Linked DNA regions of Sus scrofa. The protein of the gene in region 1 purifies or fractionates together with the protein of each later gene. This does not show direct contact. Links are inferred from orthologs where the notes say so. Each region holds a gene or a part of one and is shown in the gene's direction. Other genes may lie near its edges.

Region 1 (4,668 bases):
ATCATGTTGTGGTTTTCATTTTCATTGTCCTCCTTACAAACCAGGTTGACCACCTTTATATAAGTTTGTTAATCATTTTTACTTCCTTTTGGAGAGCTAAAGTAACTGACCCGTTTGTTAAAAGTGATCAATCATTTTCTTAGCAAATTACATCAGTTCTTCATATATTTATATATAGGCCCTTAATTTTGCATATTGCAAATATCTTCTCCCAATCTGTGCCTTGCCTTTCATTCTCTTTAATGTTGTCTTTGGATAGACAGAATTTCTCAAGTTATCAATTAATGTAGCCAAGTTCGTAATTATTTTCTTTATAGTTGGTGACTTTTTTGTTCCATTTAAAACTCATTCTCTGTAATAAAACAATTGATATCACCTTATAAAATGTTATTTTATCTTTTACAATTCAATATACAATCAATTTGCACTCAATTTAAGGATATGTTTTCAGGCAGAGATTAAACTTCTTTTTCCACGTGTATATCAAATTGACTAAGCACAATTTATTATCAAAAAGTCCTTTGCCCACTGCTCATGGAGCTCCCGTTGTGGCACAGTGGTTAACGAATCTGACTAGGAACCATGAGGTTGAAGGTTTGATCACTGGCCTTTCTCAGTGGGTTGGGAATCCTGCGTTGCCGTGAGCTGTGGTGTAGGTTGCAGACGCAGCGCGGATTCCGCGTTGCTGTGGCTCTGGCGTAGGCCGGCAGCTCTGATTGGACCCCCAGCCTGAGAACCTCCATATGCCACAGGAGCGACCCTAGAAAAGGCAAAAAGACAAAAAAAAAAAAAAAAGTCCTTTGCCCACTGTTCAGAAAGGTCATCTTTGTCCTAAATCAACTGTACATTTATGTCGTTGTCTGTTTCTAAGCTATTTATTCTGCTTCTTTTACCTATCCTTTCACCATTACCACACTGTCTTAACCATCTGGTAGAAACCCATCTTCAGTGCTCTTCAGGAGATCTTTAAGAGTTTCTTGGTCATTTTCAGCCCTTCCCATTTCCATGTCCATTTTAAAATAACACACACACACATCTCTACTATGACTTTGGATTTGCTTTGAATCTATAGATCATTTTGTGAAGAACTGACATCCTAACAATATTGAAACCTGCAACCTATGAACACAGTATAATTCTCCATTTATTTAGGTTTTCAATTCCTTTGAAAATATTTCATAATTCTCTCTGCATGGATATTGCAATCTAGTTAAATTTATTCATAGTTAATTGATCTCTTGTATGCTATTACAAATCATTTCTTCAAAACGTCAGTGTTATATTTGCTACTAATCTATTGAAATACAATTGATCTTTGAATATGACTTTGTATCAGCAACTCTGTTTATTAATTTAATAACTTCCATTTTTGATTTTTCTATGCACATATCATCTGCCAGTTTTATGCCTTCCTTCCTAAACTATACCTTTCATTTCCTCTTCTTGAAAAAACTACAACTCACAATAACATAAATCCGAGTAATGTGTAATTCCAACTGTAAATTCAATAAAAAGATACCAGTGGATTCAAACTTCTTTCCACCTCACATGCTCCCCCTCTCAGCCCCACAGAGCCAAAGCACTACCTCTTAACAACTACTTCCTACCCAGACCGGTCGGGGCAGAGCAGAGCCGGCTCGGAGGTGGGCTGCGGAAGCGCGCCTTCTGCATCGCGCCTTCGGCACCCTGGACGCCCCGCCCCTCGCCGGACGCAGCCAATCAGCGCCCGCCCCTTGCGAGCGTCTCAACAGCCAAAATGGCGGCGGCCATTGGCGCAGAGTCCCGCTTGTAGTTCCATTGCCTTACTCCTCCCATTGTAAAATGTGAAAGGAGACGCGGCTAGCAGAGGGGGTCCTAGGCAATGAGTCGGCGAAGAAAACATGGGGACAGTCCTGGCCTGAAGAACACGCCGCGCAAAGCGACGGCAACTGAGGAATGCAGCTCGGTGGTCGAGCCGGGGAAGAGGCGGCTGAGGTCGGCCCACGGCTCGGGGCCCCGCGGGGCTAGAGAGAGGCCTACCCGGCCTCTGCCGCAGCAAGAGCAACCTCCAGCAGCCGCTTCGTGCAGTAAAAGTAACCCCGAGGGTGAGACGTGGGCAGCGCGGCCTCTCAGTGCCTCTGCGACTCAGCTTCACAACCCCGTTCCTAACAGGGAAACGCCGGGTAGGGGTGGGGGTGGAGTCTGACCTCGTGTTTTCTTTCTCTGGGTTTCTCCCGCGTGAGTCCCAAATTAACCCAACACCACTCCCCCACGGCTTTGGTCCCCCAGTTTGAGCACTGCCTGGTTAGGTTGTACAGCCCACGTGTTGCCCCTGCCACAGGAATAGATCGTGGGGGTTTACCTGTTGGAGGGAGGAAGGCTAATTGCTAGGCTGCTCCTTCAGGCATCAGCAGTGGCTGAGAGAGGGGAAATAATACCTGTTGCCTTCAGCGTATTCCTAGAGAAATTATTTCCCTCTAAACATTTTGCCCTGACTTGATTTACAGAAGGGGCCTTAGGAAAGCTATAGCTGTCTGTATCCTCAAAGCCTTGGTGATGTATCACATCGTTAGGAATAAACCGGAAGTTCCTTTGTATAAGGTCCCTCAAAGTAGGAAACTAAGGGCCCCTGAATATTTCATTGTGAACCATTTTTGGTGTTACATTTTTTAAAGATTTCTAATCCTGGGAAGAACTGAAACTCATATAAAAGCTCTTTTCTAGAGCGTGGTCTTAAAGCACAGCCTCTGTTACCTTTTTGTTTTTAGTTTACTTTGACAAAGTAATTGCAGAGTAAACAAAAAAAAGTGATACTAGACAAAACTTCCCAAGAAATGGATCACCAAAGCTTTTTGACATAATCAGTGTAAGTTAGATAGAGTTGGTGAAAGGAGGCTACACATATACTTTCACTAAAGTGTCTGTTGGAATGCTTTTGATTTTTGAGTTGTATCTGTAAGTTGCAGGTAGTTCCCCTAGCCTCCAAGTTCCAGTGGTAATACAGGTTATCCAGTATTGTCCATGTATAGAGCTACTAGATTATCTTAAAATATTTGCTATTTACAGTTAAATTTGTGAATTACAGGGATTTTTATGTGAAACAAATAATATCAATTGTGGTTAGGGTAATATTTCTGGGAGAAAATTTTAAATTGGACAATAAGTTATTGAGTGTAAGCTATTATTTAACATTGGGTGTTATGCAGTAAAATAATGCTTTAAAATGCAACAGTTGTTCTGCTCTTCTGTAGAAATGTATGAAACACCTAAGAGAATGCTGCAAGTGGATTTATTGTCATCTACCTTCAGTTCTCCTAATGATCCAGATGGACTGAATGATATCTTTTGGGATCAGAATTCTCCAATGACAAAACAGTTAGGTAATTTGTTATTAACATTTTTTTTCTGGGTGAATATTTGATCAGTGGTTAGGATTTAACTACAGAATTTCAGTCAGGTAATAACATTGGGAACTTTTATATAGCAGATGTTTTATGAGAATCTTGAATGATCATGTTGTTACAATATGCATGTGATGTCAGAGTGAGTAGTGATTTAAGCCATGCTCATTAAAATTATTTTCTAAGAAATGACCTCTATTTTTAAAAATTAGATTTTTAAATAATTTATAGAAATGTCTTTGTTTCTTTAGGTAAAGGAAGAAAAAAACAGATTTACACCACAGATAGTGATGAGATTTCCCATATTGTTAATCGTATTGCTCCTCAGGTAAATAGCAGTGATTTTACAGTTTATTTTAAAATAATGAAAAATGTGCCACTAAGTTTTTTCAATAATTCATTTATGTGAAAAATGTTTGTCTTATTTGACTCTTGTTTCCAAAAACAGAGCAGCAAAGATTACTTTTTTCTACCACTGAAATGCATTTTTGAAAAAAGGAACAAAATGTAATGAAAAATGTGCCACTAAGTTTTTTCAGTAATTCATTTATGTGAAAAATGTTTGTCTTATTTGACTCTTGTTTCCAAAAACAGAGCAGCAAAGATTACTTTTTTCTACCACTGAAATGCATTTTTGAAAAAAGGAACAAAATGTAAAATTGGTAGTATGTATTTTCCTAAGTGTATATCTTACTTGGTTAGAGTGATGATTTTTAACTAGAGCTTTGTTTAGTTTGTTTCTAGTGTTGCTTAACAACATATGGTATCATTTTTCAATTTACTAAAATAATAGAATCAGACAACAAATTTAAACTTCTAAGTTTTTTTTTTTTTTTTTACAGTTGGTATTTTTTTAAACTGTCTATAATACACTGTTTCCCCATTGAAATTGCTTTTCTTAATACTTGTTGACTTACAGCATCATCAAGAGGCAAACATAAAAATGAAAAAAACACTGGATTTGGAGTTGGTTCTCAGCATGCCTCCTATATTGGGTGACTCTAAGCAAGTCACTTAAATCTCTCAGTTTTAGTTCATTCAGCCATAAACTAAAATTATACTTGTCTTGTTCTCTTTCTTGAATTATGAGGATTGAGTTAGATAAAAATTATTTAAAAACTATAGAGCACTACAGATGTTAGGTTATGTTAAAGTTAATTGTGGTATTTAAATTATTTGCCATAATAGAACAATTTTCAAATATTTCTTCTTTATTTTGGCTCTTATAATGCTTGAGTGAAACTGAAATAACAAGTTTAGATCAGCCTCTTTTCTGAACCTCTTTCCT
Region 2 (4,603 bases), on another chromosome or scaffold:
TTCCTCATCTGTAAAAACAGGGACAACAGCAGTACTTACCTACCTCATAGGATTGTGTTAGAAAATGTAAAATGTTTAAGACAATACCTGCATGGAGTTCCCTTCATGGCACAGCAGAAAGGGAATCCAACTAGGAACTATGAGGTTTCGGTTCGATCCCTGGCCTCACTCAGTGCGTTAAGGATCTGGCGTTGCCATGAGCTGTGGTGTAGGTCATGGACATGGCTCGATCTGGCATTGCCGTGGCTGTGGTGTGTAGGCCAGCAGCCACAGCTCCGATTGGACCTTTAGCCTGGGAACATCCATATGCCACAGGTGCGGCCCTAAAAAGACAAAAGACAAAAAAAAAAAAAAAAAAGACAGAGAGAGAGAGAAGAAAGTGTCTGCAGTTTTAGCAAAAGGAAATGCAATGGCCCAGAAACCCAGGGACCATGTCTTCGTTATTTGCCACTGAATCCCAGTGGCCAGCACAAAGCTTGGAACAAGAGATATCAATAAATATTTTTAAATTATAAATGAGGATCTGTTCCTAACAGTGTAGTAGTATTTAGAGCAAAGAACTGACAGACATGTTCCACTCTCCATAGGAGGGACACGGAGTTCCCGTCCTGGAGCAGCAGAAATAAATCCGACTAGGAGCCATGAGGTTGTGGGTTCGATCCCTGGCCTTGCTCAGTGGGTTAAGGATCAGGCGTTGCTGTGAGCTGTGGTGTAGGCTGCAGACGCTCTGATTAGACCCCCTAGCCTGGGAACCTCCACATGCCGCGGGTGCGGCCCTAAAAGGACAAAAGACCACAAAAAAGAAAAGAAAAACGTAAGAGGGACACAACCGTATTACATGAAGAATAGTTGAAGCAACCGAGGATACGGATCCGGACTAGACTGGGGTGGGGACAGAAAGGTTGGGGGGATGTCATCCTCAGATCTTTTGCCATTCTGGGAAAAAGACTGTAGGCTTCTCACAGCTTCTCTGCGGAGAATCAGGACGACGGGATGGCAATACCAGAACTGAACCTGGCTCTTTATGGAAAAGAATACGCAACCCCACGAGGTGCAATGAAATTACTACATTGAGCTCCCCGTATGTGTATATATTGTGCTAATGGCAAGTCCTACTACTATAACGCTTTAGGAGGCATCACTCGATTGGTAAGGTTTTGGACGAAACAAGACACGGAACAAAGGAAGTGATGTAAAGTGTCAGTCAGTTGCCGGGGGTGGGATTAAACGGCCTGAGATGTGGAAGTATCATCCAGATTGGTTCTCATCTTTTACTTTTTGGGCAACCGCCCACAGCATCTCGGGTGAGGGATCCGACTCAAGCCATCTCCGGATCCTTAACCTGCTGGGCCACAAGTGAACTCCTTGATTGGTTATTTTCTTGAGACACTGGCCTATCTTTGCATCTCTCAGGTCTCCCTTCCGCAGCCGCAGCCTATTTTGCCCTAAGTAACGATGGCTGCAGAGGCTTCGGATCTTCCCGGAGCGAAGTGCGCATTCTCCGGAGCTCGGCGCGGGAAGGCGGGAAAAGGCGTGGGATTCTTAAGCATTGATTGGCTGAGGGGAGAAACGCTCTGGACTCTGATTGGCTCCGTCCTTCGCGGGAAGGAGTTTGTGGCTCCAGCGAAAAGTAGATACAGCGCAGCTGCAACAGCGGAGTCCTGAGGGGGTTCGGCTAACCCACCGGACCGGAGCCTTCTGGAGCTCTACACTGAGGGAATAGTGACCAAGATGTGGAATAGTAATGATGAGTGGGGCGCCTGATGAGAATCGCAAGAAGGATTTAGCAAGGGAGGGCCCGGGGAGGCGTGTGGCGGCAGGGGGCGGGCGAGGGCCGGTGATGGGGGCGTGCGGGTCGTAGGGAAGATGGTGGGAAGGTTAGGGAGACTCTGGGAGTGGTTGGGGTGAAGTCTGGGGGGACTTGCGGATTTTTCAGAGGCTTGGAGGGTGGCACAAGTATTAATACTGCTGTTGTTTAAAACCAGGTGGATTTGAAAGCTATAGCAGCTCCTCCTTTGGGGGAGCCGGCGGCTACACACAGTCCCCTGGGGGCTTTGGATCACCGACACCTTCCCAGGCTGAAAAGAAATCTGTAGGTTGCAAGCGCATTTCTTTTTATTTTAACCTCTGCTGAAGCTCCTAACGCATCTGTGAGAAAATTTAGGCGGGGAAGGAAGGGTGGTAAACTGGACGTGCTTGTAAGTTTGAAAAATCAAACGTCTCCTAATTTTGCATACATTGTTTCCTTGGCTTTATTTTGAAAGTTACCAATATAACTAATGAATTAGTCTTGTGGGAAAAACCGAACTTGTATGTGTAGCCTATTTTACATTCTTCACATACTGGAAGTCATTTTTAAATGAAATGTAATGAGGTCATCTGATAAGGTGGAAAGAGCCTGGTCTTTGGAGTCTAGTAGATCTATGTTCCACTATTGCTCTGACACTGCTTGCAGGGTATCATTGGACAATTACAAAACTGGGAATCAGTTTTGCACCCACTAAATGGGATTAATGATACATATCTTACAAGGTTGTTGTGAGATTAATAACATTACATATAGTTATGCCTGCCCCAGAGTTGCTTTCAATAAATGGCCCCAGGGGTAGTTCCCATTCTGGCGCTGCAGAAATGAATCCGACTAGGATCCATGAGGATGCAGGTTCGATCCCTGGCCTCGCTCAGTGGGTTAAGGATCTGATGTTGCTGTGAGCTGTGGTGTAGGCCATCGGCTATAGCTCCGACTTGACCCCTAGCCTGGGAACCTCCATATGCCGTGGGTACGGCCCTAAAAAGCAGAGCAAAAAAAAAAACAGAAAGGAAAAAAAGAAATGTGATCAAGAGCACACTGCTCCTGAGTGGTCGAGCCATAATCTCAGCCCACCAGCTGGCTGCCACCTTTTGTGACATGTGTGCTGGTAGTTGACTGGGCTTACTTTCTACCATCCTGGCAATATTCACCGTTCAAAAGTATGCTTCAGCAGTTAGCCCACTGAGCAAGGCCAGAGATTGAACCTGCGTCCTCATGGATGCTAGTCAGATTCATTAACCACTGAGCCATAACGGGAACTCCTGTAATGCACATTCTTCACTCACTATTTTTTCACTGTCAAAATTTTCGTGCTTCAGGGTCCAGCCTAAATGCTCCCTCTTCTTGAAATTGCCAATAAATTTTTCCAAGATCCCACATTCTATAGTGTTTCAAGATCAGGCTTGTTATTTACATTTGTAGCATGTGTTGAGGGCAAATCCTGTTCCATTTTACTCATCTTTATTTCCCCCAAACAAACCCTGGCCAGTGGGAGACAAACATAAGAGTATACATGGTTAGGCTGCTTCTGGGTGTGATTTAGGTGTCCTCTTCTGCCCGTCACATCCTGTCCCTTTCCTTTAAGATGTCCCGTGTGGCCAGGCCCTTATCCCATTTTCCTCATACTCACATGGGATTGTCAGAACATCTACCTAAAGCTATATACCTCCAACTTTTTGTTATACTTTAACTTAGAAGAGCTTCAGAGTTCTGTCTTTGCTGGCCATTTCCCAAATTCCTTCCAAATACTATCTCTTCTCATCAGTGATGAAAAGCCAGCTCAAGCTTGCCTTCATCCTAAAGCTGGAGTTGCCTTTTCAAAGTCTCTTCCAGAAGCAGGTCATGTTCCTTTGCTGTCCACACTCTGGCTGACTCATTTTGGTGATCCCTAGTATAGCACAAACTTATCCAGTCATCAGGAGCTTTGGAGTCAGACAGACGTGGTTTTGAAATTTAGAATATGGCGTTGGTTAACTATATAACCTTGGTTTTCTTCTCTGTGAAGTAGGGACAATGAGGTTTCTTTTGAAGATTAGTGTTACAATATCCGTAAAGTGCTGGGCATATAGGAGGTGTTAAGGGACAGTAGTTATTATTTTCTTAATTGAATTTATGCATACTTTTTTCAGAGAGCCCGAGCTCAGCACATTGTACCCTGTACCATATCTCAGCTGCTTTCTGCTACTCTGGTTGATGAAGTGTTCAAAATTGGGAATGTTGAGATTTCACAGGTATGTAAAATAATTTGTGGAAGAGTCACTCAATCATATGAAGAATGAAATAAAACTTACTTCATTTAAAAATAGATTCATGTTGCTTTGGTTTCTAAGAAAACCAAACTTATTTTTCTTCTTGTCTAGGTGACTATTGTGGGGATAATCAGACATGCAGAGAAGGCTGCAACCAACATTGTTTACAAAATAGATGACATGACAGCTGCACCCATGGATGTCCGCCAGTGGGTTGACACAGATGTAAGCAGTTGTGTTTGAATCAGGGTGGGGTTACTTTGGGACTTTGGAGATGTTGAACTTTTTTAGTATCACTTTTTTTTTTTTTTGCTTTTCAGGGCCATACCCACAGCATATGGAGGTTCCCAGGCTAGGGGTCCAACCAGAGGTACAGCTGCCAGCCACAGCCACAGCAACACAGGATCTGAGCTGCATCTGCAACCTACACCACAGCTCACAGCAACGCCAGATCCTTAACCCACTGAGCAAGGCCAGGGATCGAACCTGCAACCTCCTGGTTCCTAGTCGGATTTGTTTTGGCTACACCACAACAAGAACTCCT
Region 3 (4,567 bases), on another chromosome or scaffold:
CAAAATCCCGCTCTCAAGGAGCTTATATTCTAATTGGAAGAGACAGTCAAAAAAATAGTATTTAATATATAACTTGATTCTATGTGCTATGAAGGAAAATAAAGCAAGGATGGAGGGGGAGAGAGTATGAGTGCAAGTGTGCTAGTCCATATGAGGCTTTCTGGTGACATTTCAGCAAACATCTGAAGAGAAGTGATGAAAGAAGGGTATTTAAGAGGGATATTTAAGGTCAAGGCAGAGGGTTTAGCAAACGCGAAATCCCTGAGACAGGAGCCTATTTGGCTGTCACTCCGCTTCTTTTTTTTTTTTTTTTTGTCTTTTTAGGGCCACATCCAGGGCATATGGAGGTTCCCAGCCTAGGGGTCAAGTCAGACCTCCATATGCTGCTGGCCTCCACCACAGCTAGGTCAGATCCAAGAGGCGTATGCCATCTACACCTCAGCTTGCGCCAACACGGGATTCTTAACCCACTGAGTGAAGCCAGGGATTCTTAACCCACTGGGTGCTCATGGACACTAGCAGGGTTTGCTACCCCTGAGCCACAACAGAAACTCCCTCCTTTTTTTTTTTTTTTCTTAAGATACTGTGTAACAATTATTCTCCTGTGTTAGGGAACAAAGGTAAATACACTGCCTGGCCTTGCCTGATTAAACATAACTTTGACATGTTAACAGCCTCTTATGATGACCATTTTTCGTATAAAAAAAACTAGGTTGAGCTACAAAATGTCTACAGCCAAAATCCACTGATTTACTTAAAAATTAAATCACAGGTAATAGACGCCAAAGGTAAAGGTGACATAAATACACACAATACTGTCGCTCACTTGATGAGCCACAAATAAACACAATTTAACCCTCTTCTTAAATATTAAAGGTTGATAAGTTCCCGCTGTGGCACAATGGGTTGAGAATCCGAATGCAGTAGCTCCGGTCACTATGGAGGCGAGAGTTCAGTCACCAGCCTGCCACAGAGGGTTAAAGGATCCAACGATGCTGCAGCTGCGTTCGGATCTGACCCCTGGTTAGGGGACTTCCGTCTGTCGCGGTTGCGGCCATACCAAAAAAAAAAAAAAAAAAAAAAAAAGAAAAGAAAGGAAAAAACTTGAGAGTATCCTCAAGGAAACCTAATGCAGACTTCAATTTGAGGGGAAAAAATATCCGCTGGGACAAGGAGGAGCCCACCTTTTGCGCCATACCTCTCAGACACCCGTCAAGAGAACAGTAAGAAAATGAAGAACCTGGGGGCGTCTTTGGGGAGACCTGGATCTGATCTTGGGGCTCTAGATGCTGAATTGTCTCATTTTTCACATTTGTCATGAGAGGGATTCTGGGCTAGTGCCCGCCACGCCCCTTTCCTCCCAGGACCCGGGGTCTGGGTTCTCTGAGCCTCCCAAGCTTGGGAGTGACAGAGCAGAGCAACTAAAAACCAAAACTCTCACGATTTTTGCCTGGCCACTTACCAAGCTGCCTATCTCAGAGCGAACCCAACTGGGGAAACTTGACCCTCCGCCGCGCCGCGTCCCTTGCCCCGCCCACTCTCCCCACCCACTTCGGCCTCCCGGCCTCCCCCGGGTCCTACGCAGAAAAGAACTAGGACCTGGCGAGCGGGCCCGCACGGCTTCCGGGAGGAGTTTTGGGCCCCGCGAGGCACCGTCGGGCGCCGCGCTTTCTCATCGGAGGTGGCTGTGGAGACGCCAGGAGCCCGCCTGGGTGTAGTTGACCGGTGGTGCACGTCCTCAGCATGGGCGAGCATGGTCTGGAGTTGGCGTCTATGATCCCGGCCCTGCGGGAGCTGGGCAGGTAGGGCCAGGCCGGCATCTCACGTGCTCTCCCTCCCCAGCCGCGCGCGTCCTAGTTCCGATCCCCTCAACCCGGGCCCTTGTGGAGACACTCCGTGGCTGATTAGAGCGCTTCTCCTACAGAGAGGCGGTTAAAAGGACTGGGGGCTTCGCCGCAGACCCGCCAGATGCGGGTCCGAGGGGAGGGCCGTCTGCAGGTCCCACTTTACCTCAGCGGCGCCCTGAAGCTCCTCCCCCACCAGCACCCCCAGGGGATTGCCTCTGCGGCGGGAAAGAAGGGTCCCGCCGGATGGTAACTTTCTGATCACTTCCCTACACTCACTGCTTTGCTTCTCAAAAGCCTCTTTCCTTGATGGAGTACTTGACCTGTGGATTTGTCTCAGTTTCTGTTGTCTTCTATGTTTTGACCCCAAACTGCCCTCGGATGAAAAGTCATTTGTTCAGATTTTATGCAAGGAAGGCCAGTTGCTCGAAAAAGCAGTTTGTGTCTTTCTTAGAAGTGAAACCATAGGCCATTCTGGAGATGGGACCCTTTTCATGTTGATCATCCAGTCCCCAATTCGTTAGTTCAATCAGAAATCCCAGGAATCGACCACAACGTCTGCAAAATATAAATGTGCAAGAATGAAGCCAAAATTTGAAGATAATTTAATGTTCCATTTGCATAGCTTTTTTTTTTTTTTTCCCCTGTAAACCTGAGAATAGAATCATGTAAACCAGTTTCCTGCCGCAACAGAAGGGAGAGATGTTGATGTCTGCTGTCCTTCAACACACCTACAACCTTTCCTCAACCAGGCCTAGGCAGGGTGTTTGTTCAATTTTTTTTTTTTTTTTTTTGGTAACCTACTGTGAATAGAAAAGTGGGCTTGTACCACTACTGCATTTGAACTGTCAATTGGAATAGTTGCTTTCCAATTTCTTAAATTGTTTGAAAACTTAGCACACAGCCACAACTGATTTTAAGCCCATGGGATATTTAATTTCCTTTCTTTGTGCAGTGCAGTTGTGTCCCTCTCCACTTGTTAGCCATACCAAGACACTGACATTTAGTCTTCCTCAGTTACATACATAAGAGGTTATAAATAACAGCACCATGCTTGTCTTAACTGAATCATCCTCTTTTTGTGTGTATGATTTTTTCCCCCTTGGCATGAGTGTTGCAATCATACTTGGGTAAACATTTTGTAAAGTAACATTTACCTTTCTTAAGAAGATGAAGGCAGGTGTTCACACAGGAAGTTGATGTACCTATTTCATCTTTCAGGCTCCATGTAAAGCTCAGGGTGTTTCCCCCTTCCCCCTGCTTTAATATAGAATTTGCTGATTAATACTTCTCTTCCCTTTTCTCTCTTCCAGTATGATACTTGTTGATAAAAATAATACTATCTTGGATTTATTTATAGTCTCTTTCATCAACAGAGCTTATGTTACCTTTGATTCATTTGTAGCCATTTTAAGAGAAGGAATAATAAAAAAAAAAACTTAGGAGTTCCTGTCCTGGTGCAGAAGAAATGAATCCGACTAGGAACCATGAGGTTCAATCCCTGGCCTCGCCTAATGGGTTAAGGATCCGGCATTGCCGTGAGCTGTGGTGAAGGTCGCAGATGCAGCTCAGATCTGGCGTTGCTGTGGCTGTGGTGTAGGCTGGCAGCTACAGCTCTGATTAGACCCCTAGGCTGGGAACCTCCATATGCTGTGGGTGTGGCCCTAAAAAAGACAAAAAAGACAAAAACAAAAACAAAAGCAAAAACACTTACCCATGGAGAATTACCTAATAGTAGTTTTTAATTGTCATGACTTTTTCATTGCAGCTTATTCATTCACATAGTATCTCCATGATATAGAATGGACCAAATATTATCACTGTTTATTAAGAAACAGAGTCACAAAGTCAAAAGGATAGCAATTATTAGAGCTAGATTTCAAATTCAAGCCATCAAGTCTTTTTCTCCTTAATTTTTTTTTCTTTTTCTTAAGTGACCGTGGCAATTAGATTTCTGAAAAAAGTAAGATGTTACTGTTTAAATGTATGGCCTCCTTTTCCTCTGTCTCTCAGGGATAAGTTTTGTTCCAATGTTTTCTGCTGTTAGCACTCCCTTTTTTTTTTTTTTTTTTTTTTTTTCATGATTGCACTGTGGGACATGGAAGTTCCCAGGCCTGCACCACAGCTGCAGCAACACTGGATCTAAGCGGCATCTGTAACTTATGTTGCAGCTTGCAGTTACACCAGATCCTTAACCCACTGCATGAGGCCAGGGATTGAACCTGCATTCTCATAGACAATATGTTGTGTTCTTAACCTGCTGGGCCACAACGGGAACTCCTATTAGCACTCTTTTCTCTATAGTCTTTCTGTTTGATCTCATCTATTTTCCTGCTGTCAACTACCATCTGCTATTTGATGACTCTAAATGCATGTCTCCCATATCTATTTCCTACAAAACTATATCCAACCACATACTGCAGTTGTTCTGATAACCCCATTAGTTGTTCCCTGGGTGTCCTACATGCATTTAAGACTCAATATATCCAATACAAATTCTCTGTATGTTCTAACCTCCCAAAGTTTTGTTTTGTTTAAATACCTCTCGTTCACTGAAGTAGGGAGATATCTCAGTAAATGATACCATGTTCACTCGTTTTTCTAAACTAGAAATCTAGGAGTCATTCTTGGCTCCATATGTGCTTTCAGGCTACATCGATTGTCCTCTTTCCTTATTTATTTATTTATTTTGCGTTTTAAGACCACATCCATGGCATATGGAG

Evidence for each region. The genes of interacting proteins can lie anywhere in the genome.
Region 2: the proteins of ETAA1 (region 1) and RPA2 purify together in Homo sapiens (affinity purification with western blotting; 4 studies listed by BioGRID, with this or other methods). This does not show direct contact. The link is inferred for Sus scrofa from reciprocal best matches to the Homo sapiens genes ETAA1 and RPA2.
Region 3: the proteins of ETAA1 (region 1) and ATR purify together in Homo sapiens (affinity purification with western blotting; 3 studies listed by BioGRID, with this or other methods). This does not show direct contact. The link is inferred for Sus scrofa from reciprocal best matches to the Homo sapiens genes ETAA1 and ATR.

Annotation. Positions count from the first base shown.
Region 1 is NC_010445.4:74,733,837-74,738,504, reverse strand, and holds the start of ETAA1 (ewing's tumor-associated antigen 1), read left to right. Parts: upstream 1-1,721; 5' UTR 1,722-1,861; coding exon 1,862-2,162; intron 2,163-3,224; exon of another isoform or gene 3,225-3,230; coding exon 3,231-3,359; intron 3,360-3,631; coding exon 3,632-3,708; exon of another isoform or gene 3,709-4,668. UniProt on the Homo sapiens protein: Replication stress response protein that accumulates at DNA damage sites and promotes replication fork progression and integrity.
Region 2 is NC_010448.4:85,042,921-85,047,523, reverse strand, and holds the start of RPA2 (replication protein A 32 kDa subunit), read left to right. Parts: upstream 1-1,624; 5' UTR 1,625-1,731; coding exon 1,732-1,741; intron 1,742-1,985; coding exon 1,986-2,092; intron 2,093-3,939; coding exon 3,940-4,041; intron 4,042-4,170; coding exon 4,171-4,284; intron 4,285-4,603. UniProt on the Homo sapiens protein: As part of the heterotrimeric replication protein A complex (RPA/RP-A), binds and stabilizes single-stranded DNA intermediates that form during DNA replication or upon DNA stress.
Region 3 is NC_010455.5:83,287,008-83,291,574, reverse strand, and holds the start of ATR (serine/threonine-protein kinase ATR), read left to right. Parts: upstream 1-1,588; 5' UTR 1,589-1,743; coding exon 1,744-1,802; intron 1,803-4,567. UniProt on the Homo sapiens protein: Serine/threonine protein kinase which activates checkpoint signaling upon genotoxic stresses such as ionizing radiation (IR), ultraviolet light (UV), or DNA replication stalling, thereby acting as a DNA damage sensor.